Linked DNA regions of Schizosaccharomyces pombe. The protein of the gene in region 2 binds, or shares a complex with, the protein of the main gene of each other region. Each region holds a gene or a part of one and is shown on either strand. Other genes may lie near its edges. The genes, in order: usp102 and frg1.

What was found.
Region 1: frg1 (region 2) and usp102 share a complex: the UniProt entries of both Schizosaccharomyces pombe proteins name them as parts of the spliceosome.

The regions. Positions count from the first base shown.
Region 1 is NC_003423.3:3,422,880-3,431,016, forward strand, and holds usp102 (U1 snRNP-associated protein Usp102), read right to left. Parts: upstream 1,601-8,137; 5' UTR 1,353-1,600; coding exon 1,232-1,352; exon of another isoform or gene 1,179-1,231; coding exon 909-1,178; exon of another isoform or gene 852-908; coding exon 493-851; 3' UTR 343-492; downstream 1-342. Other genes in the region: ESCRT II complex subunit Vps25, read left to right, coding at 1-82, 127-315; plasma membrane glucose/fructose:proton symporter Ght2, read left to right, coding at 4,693-6,288; U1 snRNP-associated protein Prp39, read left to right, coding at 6,922-7,013, 7,061-7,247, 7,298-7,401, 7,447-7,614, 7,702-8,137. UniProt on the Schizosaccharomyces pombe protein: Involved in nuclear mRNA splicing.
Region 2 is NC_003423.3:2,019,875-2,029,506, forward strand, and holds frg1 (FRG1 family mRNA-processing protein), read left to right. Parts: upstream 1-3,974; 5' UTR 3,975-4,074; coding exon 4,075-4,112; exon of another isoform or gene 4,113-4,184; coding exon 4,185-4,304; exon of another isoform or gene 4,305-4,364; coding exon 4,365-4,823; intron 4,824-4,894; coding exon 4,895-5,015; 3' UTR 5,016-5,313; downstream 5,314-9,632. Other genes in the region: SPOM_SPBP23A10.11C (circularly permuted 1,3-beta-glucanase), read right to left, coding at 1-815; origin recognition complex subunit Orc4, read left to right, coding at 5,669-8,587; RNA polymerase II transcription elongation factor Ell1, read right to left, coding at 9,385-9,632. UniProt on the Schizosaccharomyces pombe protein: May have a role in processing of pre-rRNA or in the assembly of rRNA into ribosomal subunits. May be involved in pre-mRNA splicing.

The DNA.
Region 1 (8,137 bases), 1.4 Mb from region 2:
GACTGAAAAGCGAAATCCTAAAGACGTGTTTTGGGTATACTGGAGGTCTATATCTGAATGGGGGAATATGATCTTGAAATGGGTAAGCCATTTTCTGCATAGTCGAAAGTACTAATTGTTTTACAGCTATCCGATATGGGACGAGAAGGGTCTATATGTACATTTTACGAACTTCAAGAACAATATAAAGAGGTAGATTGTTTAGACGAAGTACTCCTCCATAAAGTTCTTGAGCTACTAATGAAAAAAGGAAATATCGAATTAATGAAAGGATCGTCTGGAAAATATAGCGGGTTCAAGGTACTGAAAGCTTAACATAATTACATGCTTGATATACATAATTTTGGGCCTGCAAAATTGCATTATATAATTTATATACACAAATGATCAATTATGAAAATGATAGGAGCTTTATATATTTCGAAAGGTGACTTTTGGATGATTATTGCAACAAAAATTTGAAAGAGGGAATTAAAATAGTTGCAGAATCAACTACGAGGCCTTCCGAGCGAATGTTACCTTTATTTGATTTCCACTGAGGGACATACCTGTTGTCCCATTTTTTGCGACCGTTGCTTCTCTATCAGAATCGTATTCAACAAATGCAATTCCTCTTCTACCGGGAACCATACGTACTTCTTGAAATCCAGAAAACGCTTCGAAAATTTGTGTAAGGACGTCTGCGTTTACTTCTTGAGGGATATTTTGTAACAGAAGTACCTTATTAGGAGGCAACAAATCTTCATTAATTGTCGATTTACGCTCAGCTCCAACATTACGTTTAGGAACCGGCTTTTTATGAGTGGGTTTGGGAGCTGCGGGTTGAAGAGCGCTAGTCCGTTTAAGCATTTCTATAATATAAGGTTAGTAAAGTGAGGTCTTTGATTTTAGAATAAAAAAGATTATACCTCTCCTATTTTTCCTATCTTTTTTCCTAGTTTCTATTTCTTCAGGAGATTCTCTTTGTACGATAATATCGCTTTTAGATTTACTGTACTGTATCATCATGGGCTTTCCATACAAAGGGTATCCTTGTAAATCCTTTAACGCTCGTGACGCGTTCTCCAAGTTGTCGAATACTACAAATGCTTGACCGCGCATTCGCAAAGTCTTTCTTGCTTGAACATCTATGACTTTACCATAAGACCCAAAGAGATGTTCTAAAATTCGTTTCAACACTACGATTGTTAGAAATTAAATTAAATTAAAACAATTTAAATTAGTGGCATACTAGTAAGACGAATTTTTTCTTCAATGTTGCGTATGTAGAGAGTCTCTGACGGTGTTTGAGAGTCTGTCTCTTTAGGAGATGGTTGTTGAACCTCTTGATGCGAATTTGTTTGAGGATCCATTGGATGTTAAATATAAAAAGATATTCACAGTGAATTTCGGCACTAATGTTATGATGAATCAAAAAACACGAGTATTTAAAAATTGGAAGACAATCCAGCTTATGGCATTAAATTCCAGCTAATTACCAAAAGAAGTAGTCTTTCAGGTACCACCTTGTTTTAGTAAATATGGCTCGTAATGGTTGACTTTACATTCAATTTCAAAATGTAAATTATAGCCAGCATTAATATTTCGTTGGATGTATTCTAAAAGCGCTTGTTTTCAAAATACAGTACTCTAATGTACCAAATATCAAATGGAGAGAAACACTCCTTATCCAAGTTAAAGATCGCGAAAGGAAGAACTTCAATAAATGGACGTAGTTTTAACACGATAACGCATCGCTATGTTTGACCATGTTGTTGCTCATTAATCTTGTTTTCAGTTGCAGAAAAAGTTACGAATGCTTGAATAGTGAATACGATAATCTGTACAATAATTCAGTTTGCCTTGTATTTTGTTACAATATGGTACAAATCCTTATATAATTTACGAGATACCTAGGTAAAAGAACCGAGTTTATGCGTTAATGATTTACCGTGCAGACAAATTTTGAACGCGCAAACAAAAGAATAAAAATTTTATAAACAACAATTGATTTAGTTACTGAAAGAGAGCGTTTACCCAAAGTAAAGAAAATGATATAAATATTGTTATTTGTAAACTGTGGATAATATGGGAATCGATGGTGTACTGGACGCGCAAATAACGAATTTTACGAGCCGTCCTATTAAGAAATACAACAGCCGAGAACAGAAGAGCAGTCACAAACCATTTTTTATTCCACAATATTAGATTGTATTAACACAAATAAAATTTTTTTTTCAAGGCATTCTCTACAATATCGAAGACATTCAACGTATAAAGGTTAGTCTTGATTCAAATACTTACCCTTGTAATTTCAATTTAATGTTAGACAAAGTTATTGCCCCAACGTCTCTGGAAAACGCGGATGCAAATTGTGGAGGAGGCAGAACTGGAAAAAGTATCAGCCAATCATCAACATGTCTGAAAAAAAATTCCAAGATATTTCTAAGCCTAGCTCGTAAAAACGGGTGACAAGACATGTATGGCGCTATCGAAGTACGAAAATAGAAAATTGCCAGACGATATTAGAGTAAAAGACACAAAAAGAATTTCATTTATTCACCCTATTATAATTTTTCAGCTTTCATCAATGTATGCGTACTAACTAAAAAAATTATCGGTGGTCATTTAAAAACAACAAAACCATCCAGCATTCATCACATGTCTTTCATCCAATCAAATGTAGTTATAGCTATTATCGTCCAATAGATTGCAGAGGCGGGATCAAAATCCCCTTAGGCAAAATTGGTAGGCTTCTCCACAGTTTTTCTCAGACTTGGGAAGAATGGAGCGGGGTAGGGAAATATAGCAAGACCCTGTCTTACAATGATTGGGCAAAAGCTTCACATATATGGGAGCAATATATGTACAATAGGCGCTTTTCACGGACATAGCAAACCTTGTTAGTAATGAGTTGGGCGTATTTAAGGAGGTCCCAAGGCCTCAAAAGTCGTTTACCAAGTTCATAACTTTTTAGGGACTACGTTAGTTAGCGATGAATTAGTGATGATTTAGTGTGCAGCGTTTACATTTTCTTAACACAGACAATTGCAGTACGGGTTACAGCTCCATATTTCTTCTATAGTCCGAATGAAGTATGGGCGTACACGTAATCAAGGGATAGAAGTATCCTTTTACACCGAACTGTTCAAGAGCGAATATATCGCTTGAGAATTCTGTTTTTTTTTGAAAAGGTTCATTGTCCATCCATATTTACCTTCTTGTTAGGGAGTCTCGCTAGGATGGTTGGTGTCGCGGTCGATGTATGGTCTCCAGGTTGGGGGCCCCTAGCTATCCTGACTTGGATAGGACAGAGATAAGATACACGTTGCGTGACGTTTTCTTAAAAAAAAAGAGCACGGCTATGCTCTATTCATGTTACTAGTTAATACTAGAGGAACTCCGCATTTAGGTTAGTTCCGTTATGGACTCGAATATGTGGAGCTCGAGAATGCAAGCAATCGAAATTTGAAGGATTATGGTTCCGTAACGTTAATTGTTCTATTGCCAGCTTTGAGATAGTCATGCAGCGATGAGAGTATGCTGTGTTTTAAACTTTGATATTTGCTGGTTCCAATACGTATGGCCACCATTGGTATTATTTTTTCGCCTTGCGAATTAATTTTACTGCAGACACTTTACTTCTTTTGCCTCAGGAAACGTTTTTTTGTGTTCAATCTTGATTTAACGATATGAGGAGTATAGAAATATACTTGGTTTTTTCGGTTACTTTGCTAAAATTATTGACGTTGGAATACACTCTGTATTTGCTAGCAGTCCGAACTTGCAGCCTCGGTCGCCAAAGTATTTAAATTTACTTTACTTTTGAGAATTATTCCTACATCACATTTATTGAAAGTCGTTTTTTCATCCTGTTATCGGCTTTCTACCTCACTAATAGTGTCTTTCCCCAGTATATGCATCAGTTTCATTACGTACAGTGTATCATTTTACGATTGAATTTTTTTTTTTGCTATGGAGAATTAATGATATCGTGACATTTTTACCTCGTTCTTGACTTTCAACGAGCTGTTGATCCTCGTCATACACGTCGTTTAAATTCTATTCCACATCTTATTCGTTCTTATTTGTGTGTGACTGCGTTTTTTTAAGTCGGCGTCCAATGATACAAGAGTTTGCTAACTACCTTGTTGCCCTTGTAATATTGTGACGTATAACCAAAAACTCTCCGGCGATCCTGTCTAAAATTTCACTGAAAGCAAAGGACTTTTGATACTTTTGTCGGGGTTTCTCTTCCCGAATTTAGTATAAAAGCTGCCCTCTTGACTGTTAAAATCTTTACCTAGACCTATTCTTGCTTTTTAAGTGCAAGAGCAACTTTAGTCTTCATTTACCTAAAAATCCTTTCTTTTTTTGGTTAAACAAGAACGAAATCCAAAGAAAGCTCAATAAAAGCATTGTGCTTTCCTTGGTTACCCTTTCTTTATACCGATTTTGAAAATACAAGCTCTCTGTGCTTGAAAATCATAATCTAGATTAATTTTTCTTTTAATTTTTATTTATTGAGAATCTCTTGTCAAGATCTCTAACTCATAAACTGTCTGTTCTTTGTTCTATCATTTCTGCTTAACGTGTTGCAACTGAAATAGACGTGTGGTTAATTTTATTCAATCTTTTATTTTCCACTTACATCCTTTCTATAGAATTTTTGTTTTTTTTCATCTTTATTAGATTCCTTTATACTTTATCAAAATGGGGTTCAAGCGTGGAAAGAATTTTACCCTTGTTATGTTAATTTTCGTCTCCATGGCCGGTTGGATGTTTGGTGCTGATACCGGTTCCATTGGTGGTGTTACTAGTATGCGCGATTTTCGTGAGCGTTATGCTGATAGATATGACCCGATCACCGACCAGTATTCTTTGTCTTCGGCTCGTCAAGGTCTTTTAACTGGTATGGTTAACGTTGGTTCCTTGTTTGGATGTATCATTTCTTCTCCCATTGCCGATCGTTTTGGTAAGAGACTTTCTATCATTGGTTTTTGTGCTGTTTATATCATTGGTATCATCGTTCAAGTTACCGCTGTTCCCTCTTGGGTACAAATCATGGTTGCCAAGATTTGGACTGGTATTGGTATTGGCGCTCTTTCTGTCTTGGCTCCTGGATATCAATCAGAGACTGCTCCTCCCAGTATTCGTGGTACCGTCGTCGTCACTTATCAGTTGTTTGTCACTGGTGGAATTTTCATTGCCGCTTGTATCAATATGGGTACTCACAAACTTCATAAAACTGCCCAGTGGCGTGTTTCAATTGGTATTAATCTCCTTTGGGGTATCATTACCATGATTGGAATTCTCTTCCTTCCCGAATCCCCTCGTTATCTTATTCAAGTTGGCAAGGATGAAGAGGCTGTTAGAGTTCTTTCTGAAAGTGCTGAGCTTTTTCCTGATAGTGAGGAAGTTCAAAATGAATATCACCGTCTCAAATCATCTATTGACGAAGAATTTGCTGGTGGCCCTTGCAGCTGGGCAAGCATTTTCGGTAAAGACATTCGTTATCGTACTTTCCTTGGTATGTTTGTTATGTCGCTTCAACAATTGACCGGTAACAACTATTTCTTCTACTATGGTTTCTCAGTTATGCAAGGAGCTGGTATTAATTCTCCTTACCTATCTGCTATGATTCTTGATGCAGTTAATTTTGGCTGCACTTTTGGTGGTATGTATGTATTGGAAAGGTTTGGTCGTCGTAACCCTCTTATCATTGGTGGTATTTGGCAGTCAATTTGCTTTTTCATTTATTCAGCTGTCGGTTCTCGTGCTTTATATCATAAGAACGGTACTTCAAATACCCGTGCTGGTGCCGTTATGATTGTCATGGCATGTCTTTTCATTTTTGGATTTGCTCAAACTTGGGCTCCTGCCGCATACGTTATTGTTGGTGAGTCATACCCTGTTCGTTACCGCTCTAAGTGTGCTGCCGTCGCTACTGCTAGCAACTGGCTCTGGAATTTCCTAATTTCATTCTTTACTCCATTCATTCAAGCTTCTATTGGATTCAAGTACGGTTACGTTTTTGCTTCTTGTAATTTGACCGGTGCAATTGTTATTTTCTTGTTTGCTAAAGAGACTAAAGGTCTTACTTTGGAAGAAATTAATGAGTTGTATATGTCTGTCATCAAGCCCTGGGAATCTGGTAACTTTAAGCTTAACTATTCTGAGCAAAAGAAAGTTGAGAAAGAGAAATCCAGAAAGGGCGGTGCCCGTGGTGAGTCTGTTGAGTATGTTGAGCGTGCTTCAAACACTGACTCATCTCCACAATACTCTTCCCATGAGGAAGATTACGCATAAGGCAATAGCTAAACGTCTTTGTATGATTTATGAATTGTGTGAGGCAGCTAGATCCAAAATTTGTTGTTCCGATTCGTTGGGTCTATATATTATATTATTAGCTAAGTTTGGATTGATAATTTGTTAAGTTACTGTGCATCTTAAATCTAGTTTTTTGAGATTATGTTCGTTTGCATATAATATTAGATACATGTGCATTCTTTGTCCATTTTTGTGTTTTTGTGTTCATTATAGGAAATAATATTTTTTATACCTAATTAAGTTTTTGTTGATTCGTTGCTTAGTAGCTAAGTATTTCCAATGTTAATAAATATTTGTAAATGTTGAAGTGAGTCATGTTTATACAGTGATTTGTAGTTGAATTTTCATTATATTAGTAAGTCTGTTACAGAACAATAATCATTTTACGCTTGTGTATCGCCCAAATGTACTTTATTAGTTATTAATTTTTAAATCAGCGTTGCGGGCAGTGTCGTATTATTCTGTATGATACGATTCGGCAGACTAATGTACTGCACTAAACTAATATTGTAATTTATTTAAGTTCAACCGAATACGGCTGAAGAAAGTATATTTCGTTGCTGTTCGATATTTACATTTTATCCTTACGCGCTTTTATACTTGCGAACCAAAATGGATTATGGGGATATTTACATTGCAGAGGAAACAGAATGGGATAAATATAATCGTCAAATAAATAAAAATCCAGATGATTTTGATGCTTGGTAGGATGTTGTCAGATACAACTTATTTAGTGCTAATTATGATTTAGGGAAGGACTGGTTCGTGCTTCAGAACATCTTGAGGGAGGTGTTGGCAGAAACTCTTCGAAACAGGCTATCAATACATTAAGAAGTGTGTACGATCGATTCTTGGGAAAATATCCGCTATTGTTTGGTTATTGGAAGAAGTATGCAGATTTTGAGTTTTTTGTGGCAGGTGCTGAAGCATCAGAGCATGTATGTACACAAGTATTATGCGATTTGTTATTTTTCTAATAAAAAAATAGATCTACGAACGAGGAATTGCTGGTATTCCACACTCTGTTGATTTGTGGACAAACTATTGCGCTTTTAAAATGGAAACCAATGGTGATGCAAATGAAGTTCGGGAGTAAGAATAAACCCTTATTTCACGTGACAAATACTAACTCATCAGGCTATTCATGCAAGGTGCGAACATGGTTGGATTGGATTTTCTGTCACATCCATTTTGGGATAAATATCTGGAATTTGAGGAGCGTCAGGAGCGTCCAGATAATGTATTTCAATTATTAGAGCGTCTTATACACATTCCCCTACATCAATACGCTCGTTATTTTGAAAGGTACGGACAAATTACCATTAACATTCGTAATTGTCTCAATTAATTTTGTGATCAAATTCAATTTAAGCTCAAAGGCTAACGTCGTAGATTCGTTCAAGTTTCACAGAGTCAACCAATACAGCAATTATTACCTCCTGACGTATTGGCATCTATCAGAGCTGATGTAACTCGTGAACCCGCTAAAGTTGTTTCTGCTGGATCAAAACAAATTACCGTTGAACGCGGTGAACTCGAAATTGAAAGAGAGATGAGAGCTCGCATATATAATATCCATTTGCAAATTTTTCAAAAAGTTCAACTCGAAACTGCTAAACGATGGACGTTCGAATCGGAAATTAAACGTCCTTACTTTCATGTTAAAGAACTCGATGAAGCACAACTAGTTAATTGGAGAAAATATTTGGACTTTGAAGAAGTGGAGGGAGATTTTCAGAGAATATGTCATTTGTATGAGAGATGTTTAATTACTTGTGCACTTTATGATGAATTTTGGTTCAGATATGCAAGGTGGATGTCAGCCCAA
Region 2 (9,632 bases):
TAGAAAGAGGAACGACCCCAGTCGGAGGAGCCAGATGATCCAGAGGTAGTTGATGTGGAAGTGGCAGATGTGGTAGAGGATGCGTAGGAAGTAGAGGCAGGAGTGGACTCAGAGGCGGAATCAGGAGGGGCAGCGGAAATAATGGAAGATGGAATCACGGTACTAACGGAAGAAGTAGCGCTGTCGACGACTGAGGAAATAGTGGCGGAAGCGGAATCGGTATCGACAGAAGATGCAACAGAAGCAGCGACAGTAGTAGGAGTAACGCTGGCAGCGAGATTGTCGGTAGAAGCAGAGGAAAGGCTGGCAAGGCTTGACAAAATGTCACTGCTAGCTTGAGCTTCAGAAGCAGCTGGTGTGGTGGCTGAATCACCATAAACAGCTGTAGTATACATGACCGTTTCGTACACGGTAAGAGTACTGTCGATGACATCGTCACGCTTATGATGAGGATGTCTCTTCATGTGTTGGTTGTTGCTACGCTTACGAAGAGAAGATAATGCGTTAGAAGTGTCGGGATAATAGACTGCAAAACGCTTGAGCTCAATAGGGCCACGGAAGTGGAAGGAGAACTCTTCGTCAAAGGGAGCCAAATTGCCGCCATAAGACTTGGGAGTACTGCTACAAGAGCATGAAGAGGTATCCATGTTGGTGATTTCGTTATAAGTAGAAGAATAGCCAACATTGGTGAATTCTACTTCGGAGGCCTGGTTACAGTAGTAGTAACCATTTTCCTCAGAGCATCCATCGGCTTTAACGCCAGAAAACGCGAAACAAAGGAAGAGAAAAGAAGCAATAAACGACTTGGCAATCATCTCAAGTTATACAAAGAAAAGATAAATATGTGAGTAGATAATAATATACTTAGACGCCGAACTAGGTATGGTTGAGGGGATATGTATGCAAACGCGTCCTAAATGAAAAAGAAAGGATTAGTACAAGTAAGCACTTGCCAAAAGAGAGCGTTTCGATATGGGGTATATGTAAAGAGTAAGTTTTGTAAGAGGCTGAAATTGGAAAACCAAGTTAAAACAATATATTGTTTCCGAAAGTGACAGTCGAGAACAAAGGATTGAGGGAAGAAAGAAACTGCAAACAAAGAGGCTTAGTTTTAGTTCCTCAAGACAAAAAAAATCCTTGTTCAAATAAAGGATGTAATAAAAAACGATTTTGAAAGAGAAATGAGTTCTCAAAAACGTTTGACCAAAAAGAAGTATCAAATCAAGTAATGCCTTTGCTTAGACAATACTCAAAAACCACAACGTATACAGTGGTTTAGTTGAAGTAAAAAAATAAAGGCAAGAACTTTTAGGTTATAAAGATATTTATATTTATATAACCAAGATTACCAGCCTCCTTGACGCAAATGATATAAGTAAGGAACGACTACCAACCAAGATTCACAAAAGTAAGAGTGTGACGAGAGTAAAGGCTAAAGAACCGAAAACACAAAGAGAGAGAGAGTAAAAAGAAAGTGGGTATTTTAGTAAAGAAACGAAGGTGAAAAGTTGGATTTAACACAACAACAACGAGAGTAAGAAAGAACGGACGTGGAACCGGATCAGAAGACCAACAAGTAGTTGAAGTATGTATATATTAAAAGAAAGACAAGAAAGTACTTAAACCACTCCGACTGACCAAGATCCGACACTCAGAAATTTTTTATCCAAAAAAAAGGCGTAGTTAATAAAAGGTAGTTGTAGTAAACAACGGGTTGTCAGGTGTTGTATATAAAGGAACGTCGAGGTTAGGGTTTCCTGAGAGCGTTTATAATTGGTTAAAAAAAAGTCATTCAGGACAGATTATTCGTTAACGAAACTTTTGATTCTAGAGATGACGGGCTCTGAGTGGTGGAAACCATGAGAGCAAAAGCGTACTCTAAAGTTTAATGCAAAGTAGACAGATTTTGATTGGTTTATGATAGGAAAGTCGGAGCGAATTGGAGGAAAGGAAGGTCAAAGTGAGCTGTTGCAATCTGCACGGGTGTACGCTTGCGTCCAGTAAAATTCGTAAAAGGGGTTTAATGAGAAGGCTGCTAATTCAACAAAGGCAAACTGACTGGTAGCGGGGATCTTTCCTTTGTGCTCTCTTTTGGATGGATATCGCTGTATATTTTAAATATATCTAACAATATTATTTTAAGGATTTCTAGACAGTACCGCATGGAGCTGGCCACATGCAATTATTAGGTCGTACTTAGAGTAATAGTAATAGTAAAATCAGGGCAGCATGTTATGTTACATCAATGTTTACAAGATCGCAGAAGTTGTAATAACTAAGTCAATTTTTTTCTATTTCTTTAGTCTTTTTCTTTCATTTGTTGTTTCGCACAATTAAAATTGCGCTCTAATATTGACCTATTTTTACCCATCCTTCTATGGATTGAGATAAACCATATTAGAATGGTCGGGTTCCTGACCAGCTTTGCGATCAGTATGGAATTGTATTGTCTAGCGATGGCGATTGTGTGACAATCAACAATTAATTTAATTATTCAATTCTGAGCAAATTTAGCACTCAGCCCATTTGGACTTTAATGAATCATTACTTTCACCAATTGGACTCCAATGCGTGCCACCTAATTTCATTGCAAAGAAATGGCCATATCGGAATAATGAATGCATATGCTAAATTAAAAAAAAAATTAAATAATAATTTGCGAGCTTATGCTCAAGAAGAACATTAATTGCTGAATTTGTGGTTTAAAACATTGTTTGGCAACTAAAAGTTAACAGATAAATATTTATATTTATATTTATTCACTGAGCATATTAATGGAAAGCTATTGAATTATATTGCTGAAATTCCTTATATGTATATTCTTAATATTATTTATTTATTTATTTAAATTTTATTTTTATGTGGTTGAGGCTTATCATATTATTTATCAAGTCCATACATCCGTTCAATTGTTACCAATGTTTGCTTAATTGTGTCCAAAACGAAATTGTAGATTTTCCATATTTACTAGATATTCACGTGGCCTCAATTTATATATCAAAACCAATAATGAAAAATTGCGCACTTGCATTAATAATTAAACCATTGTTTTTATTTGCCATCAGCAATAATTTTTTGATTAAAAATTTTTTAAGAAAAAAAAAAAAAAAAAAAAAAAAAGAAATTTATTCACCGTGATTAAGAAACTAACATATTACGCATATGGTTAGTATATTAGATAAAAATAAATTCTTATATTTATTATTTATTTTTTAAAAATATTTATTTTATTACAAACATTAAAATTTTCATGTTTCAGCATTTGGTTTAGATGAATGTAAAAGTCGTTAAAAAATAACCTTATTAACTAACGAGTTAGTTTTTTTTTTTTTTTTTTTTTTTTTTTTGAATGTTTTGGAATTTCCAAGTTCATTTGTACAACAATAATCAAGTTAATAGATTAAATAACAAAATTAATACTATTGTTTTTTTATCACTCAAATATTTTCATCCACTTTTGTGCTGTTTTTAATATGCAGGTATTATGGCTACACTTATTCACATAGTAATAAGTAAATTGAAACAGTGCTCATCTTTTGTAAGCTTTCAACTGAATAAGCAAAAAAAAATTCTTATTGTCATCAATGGACTTCCTTTTTTGGAATATGACTCGTCCTTCAACGAATGTTTTTGGTATTGAACAATGCTAGTCTTCGGTGCATACTTCTTCTCTCATCTATATTCAAAATTATCATTCAATTAAGCACATTTTTTTTCTTTCTCAAGCCATTAGAATGTTATGCAAATCATCCATTTTACAAACCAACATTAGCATGGGTCACAAAAGTCACATTGTGAGCAACAGAACATTTCTATTCATATAAAGCATTTCCTTGCTTATTAAAAACGTTTGAACCTCTTTTGTTTTGCTAAGAGTACCTTGCCTATTCCTCAGAACATATTGGATTTCAGCACGAAGAAGCATCTGGTCTGTTCAAATCCTTAACACTACTCCCACTACTTGCTTTTTCCTCGAAAACCACGCATAAATATTTAGTCATTATCCATTATTAACAATTATCATTTTTAAGGATTTTTAATCGTTTAAATTCTTGGTAATTTACTGATGGTAAAATGTCTATGCGATTAACTTTCAAGGGAGACAAAAAGATGTAAGATAAAATGAAATAACTGCTCGAATGTGGTAATTCATATTATATTGTTCATCACTAACAAGAAATCAGTCAAAAGAAGAAAAAAAAGAACACAAAATCACTTCAATCTTCTCTAGAATCAGCTGAAAACGATCCTTTTTGGACGGACGCAAACGAGCTAAATGAGCTTGAGGGTCCAGCGGTTATATAGTAAGCTTAACTTCAATATTCTTATACCTTTTTTTCTAATTTACTTACAACTTTATGTAGTAAAATAGACGATGATGCTGGTGTATCTCTTGGAATTGAAGAAGTTAAAGAAAGTTGCGTTCTTCTTCCCCTCGACAAAGTTTCGCTAGAGCCAGAATTGACGCGCCAGGTGTTTTTGTTATCCATACTGAACAATACTATACTATTGAAAAGCTGTTTAGGTAAATACATGTCATGTAGTAAGTCTGGAGACTTGTATTGTACGCAAGAGGCGGTAGGATCACAGGAACAATGGATAGCGGAGAATCTGGGCTCAGGATTTTGGGCTTGGAAAAGTGTATCAACGAAAAAATATTTAACATTAAGTAGAGAAAAACAAGATCAGGCCATTGCATGTGTCTCTGACACTGTCATTCCTGAAGCCAAATGGAGAATTCGAGTACAAACTCGTTTCCTAAAGAAAAACAAGTCTTCTTTATTTGACAACCCAACCATACATTCCAGACAATTAGAATCTATGTAAGTTATGCTATTCTATTTTATTGGGGTTTCCCTTCTACTTTCGTCATTCTAACTTTGTAATTTTACAGGGCTGGAAGAAAACTTTCTACCGATGAAAAAAAGACCCTCAAAAAAGCGTTTAAGGAAGGAGTTCTTCATGAAGCATTACTAGATTTACGAGTATCTTCAAGGAGCGACAAATATGGTTAATTTTTCGGATATTCTTGATAAACCATTAATATCTTGACTTACTGATTAATGTACGATTACCTGCTGGACCAAAGCTAGCAAAAACAGATTTGATTTTTTCTCTTGAATTTTAGGCACCTTGTATAGCTATTGAGACTCCTTTCAGCTATTCACTACTTTTATGTATGAATTTACAAAGCTTTATGGTAATTACTCATTTCAAAAGTGAAGTGTTTTACTTCATTCCTTAATTTTAACGAACTATTTTTTTTTAATAAAAAATGAATATTTAATGAATCTGTTGAAATTCATTCCCTTCATACATGTATGGTTTTACAAATAAATGCAACAAGTAAATAATTATAGTCATCAGCATCGCTTGAAAAAGATTAAAATAGTTTTAGATTATTACTACTATTACCTAGTCATTATTTCAGCTTCAAAAATATATTTCTATACTGGCCCTGTCCTTAAGGCTGTACGCCAATCTTACTGCTCACCTTTACCAAGAATCGAAGTAACACCCTGCATCTGTCAAGTCAAGAGGAAATTGAAAAAAATAATTAGAAAAGAGACCAATTAATTGCATTTGTTAATAAAAAGGCTAAATTTAGAGGATCATTATTTTTACAGTGTATAAAAACCATAGGGATGTGCATCTTCAAGTTTTTAATATGAGCTCATCCCCATTCACAAATCTTGGGAATTTGGACACAGAAGCAATCTATGAAAATAAGGAAAATGAATACCAGACAAACATAACTAATGAGACCTCAAATGTTCAAAATTTATCAAGTGGTAATGATGATCAGCAGTATCCCAATTCTACGAATGATGATGCAAATAATGGATTAACTGCCTCTCAAGCAAAATTGCAAGATATTGCCGCTGTCACTTTATTTCAGGATAATAATATTTCAACTACGACTTTAGCTCCGCCTTCACCTTCACCTTTGCGTCTCAATGAAGCTCCTCGCAGACGTGGAAGACCTCGAAAATATCCACCAAAACCAATTGACGAAGGATCGGAGCCTATAATCAAACGGAAGCGTGGCAGACCTCCAAAAATAAAAAGTTCTTCTCCTTCCACAAAACTAGATGATCCCTTAAAGCCTAAAAGAGGTAGAGGACGTCCTCGTTTACATCCTCTCCCAGTAGTGCAACCGTCTGTAGATGAGGGAACAACTCAAAATAATCTACAGATGGGGTTAGATGAGCCGAATATCATAGAAGGTTTTGCCGAAGGGCATGCCAATTTAAGTGAGCTGAAGCCAAAGAGAGGGCGTGGACGACCTCGAAAAATAAAACCAGAAGAAGGGAGCTCAAGTCAAAATGGGCTTTCTCCTTTGGTAGTATTACCTGCGAAAAGAGGGCGCGGGCGTCCACCTTTACATCGATCTGAACAGAAGATTGCAAATACTCCAATTTCGAATAATGTAACGGTTGAATCGACAGGTACAAATCTACATACTCATTCACAGTTGAATCCAGAAAATGAACAATCTTCTTCTGAATTCTATTCATTGAATCCACAATCTGAAATACGGAAGGAAGTTGTAGTCACAGATCAACCTTTATTTTCTACTGCAGACGTCCCAGTAAAGCGGAAACGTGGACGACCTCCTTTAAATAAGCCCAAGATACTTTTTGGGACAAGTACTGAAAATAAAATAGATGAAAATAGACCCAAACGAGGTAGAGGAAGACCTCGCCTTGAAAGACCGAGTGGCTTGCCTTTAGATTCAAAATCACAATCCCTTTTTAAAAGAAAGCGTGGTAGACCTCCAAAAATAGCTAGTGGAATTGTACCTTTAAGCGCCTTTACTAGAAAACATGAGGATATGCTTCATGACTCAGACGCGTTGTCACTTAAACATTTTGCTATTACATCTCCTAATAATCAACAGTTCCTTAATAATCAACAGCGAGAATCAGCTCCGTTGCTTCCTAGAAAACGTGGACGACCACCGAAAAAGCGTCAAGAGAATGCGGAAATTCGTAATATCACACCTGGTTTAACCGATTCCTCTGTTCACTCCTCTTCAGCAACTCCGCAATCCGAATCTTCATCACCCAATTCAGTTTCTCCACTACTTCCTTCATCTGACAGATTACCCCTTCTTCGACAATCTCAATTTACACCTCCTCCCAAAAAACCTAATTTCGAAGTTGCTATTATTTCTCCTAAAAAGAGTCAGCATAAACTTTATCCTAATCCTGTCGTTGAGTCTGTATTTAATGACGTCCCATATTCTGAAATTGACTCACAGTTACATACTATTAAATCTACGATTGCTGCAAGGTTGTGTGGGAAAAGCCATATCCCTCTTGTAGGACATATGGATGAACAGACAAAGCTTTATCAATGGGTCCGACAAACTATAGTACTTGGCGAAGGTAATTCTGTCATTATTGTCGGTCCACGGGGTTCTGGAAAATCAGTTCTCGTGGATGATATACTATCACGCGCAGCTCAGGAAATAAATGAAAAAAGTTATGTCGTAAGATTGAATGGTACGTACCAGACAGATGACAAACTAGCTTTGCGTGAAATATCGCGACAATTATCTATTGAACTTGAATCTATCGAGTCTGATGAAGCATTAAAATCAGAAATGAACTTTTCTGATACACTTACAAAATTGTTAGCTACATTGTCTCATCCCGTGGATTTGGGAATTGCAGAAGACGTAATGACAACGTCTGCAGCCGTGATATTTGTTTTAGAAGAGTTTGACCTGTTTGTTCAGCATTCACGGCAAATGCTCTTGTATAACTTGTTTGACATTGCTCAATCGAGGAAAGCCCCGATACTGATCATAGGCTTGACTACTCGCTATGATTGTTCTGAATCACTTGAAAAGCGAGTAAAAAGTAGGTTTAGTCACATGGTAATTCCCATGCGACCACCTTCTTCGCTTAGTGAATTTGAGCAAATTTTAAAATCTGTTTTGTATGTTTCTGACGAAGGCGGAAAAGACCAAATAATAACATGCTGGAACCAGAGAGTGGATGAATTGCTTTCCGATACACGAAGTCACTTACATAAATTGGTACAACATCACTATTTTGCAAGCAGAAATTTAAAATTATTGTATGTTGATTTATTATTTCCCATACTTTCCATGGCACCTGATCGTCCATTACTTGCTGATGAAGACTTCGCCAATATCAGTCTCAAAGTTTCTGACCATAAGGTTGAACTTGTAAAGAATTTAAGTTTGTTGGAGTTGGCTTTATTGATTTGTGCAGTTCGCTTTGAAGCTAGGGATATTCCAGCTTGCAACTTTAATAGTGCTTATCAAGAATATCGACAACTGCATCAATCTTCCGTTATAAATGCCGCAGCATCGGGAGCTCTAGCTCATAGCAGTCGATTATGGGGAAGGGATGTTGCTTTGGAAGCATGGGAAACTTTAGGGTCTATAGGATTGATTATACCGGTTCACCCTTCTACTAATGTTAGTGGTGCCCTTTCTAGACAATGCCAACTATGGCAGCCAGAAGTGGATATCAATGTAGTTTCTGTAGGTTTGCGTGAACATCGACGTTTGCCATCGCATTATTACCGCTGGCTTAAGGAGGTTATATAAAAGAATTGCAATTTTTTTTGTTTCTGTTGTATTTTATTAACTTTGTATCCTTTTTAAATAAAACAATATAAGAAAGGCAAAAATAAGGACGACCGTGTTGAAGGTTATATACCATTACACATTGTAGTTATTACCGATATTTGATAAATAAAAGTTTTAATTTTAATTGATTAAATATTTGCTTCTGATAAACGAAAATAGAATTTACTTTTTTGCTATCAGCGCTGGTTAAGCTGTGAAAGAAGCTGGTCTCCAAATATTTATATTAGATGACTTATGAAGGTAAATCAGTAATCAACGGATCAATGAATACCTAAACATTTTAATGATAGTTTTTGTTTCAGGGTCACTTTGTACTAATGTAGAAAAAAAATTTTGGCGGAATATTTCATGAAAGGTGGTAAGAAAAACAAAATAAATTAGATTAAACGAAAGGACTCATCAGTGGTACTTTTAAGCCCAAAAAAAAGTGATAGCACATAAGGAATTCACGCAGTTTAACTAACTTAAAGATATGTCATAAAAGTTTAAAAAAAGCATCACAATAACAAGATTCTCATTATAAAATCAAAAACAAACTAATATTCAATAAACTGCTAATTGAATATGAATTTAACCAATTTATCTTTTAAACGAAACACTAGCCTTAACGAAAGCAGGAAAAAACAGCCTGCACTCGTTGTAGGCACCGTACAGTATTGAAACAATTTTGAATTGAAGCTGAGATAACCGTCACCTTTATAAAACATTGGAAATAAAACTGAGTGTTAAGAAAACCGGAAATTTATTGAGAAAAGTTAGAGGGCTAGCTCCGAGGAAGCATCGTAAAGTGTATTTTTCCAGCTTTTGAGCTGAGAATGTAGAGATATAAGTTCATCTTGGAGCTTGTTTAAATTAGGATTATTAGTATCATTATTATCATAATATGAAGAGACTTTTAAATATAAATTCTTATAACGCGGATAAGTTTCCCGAAATCTTTTTGCCAATGCTCGCATTTCTTCTGTAGTGTAACGTTGTTGACGACGCTTTTTAGCTATCCATG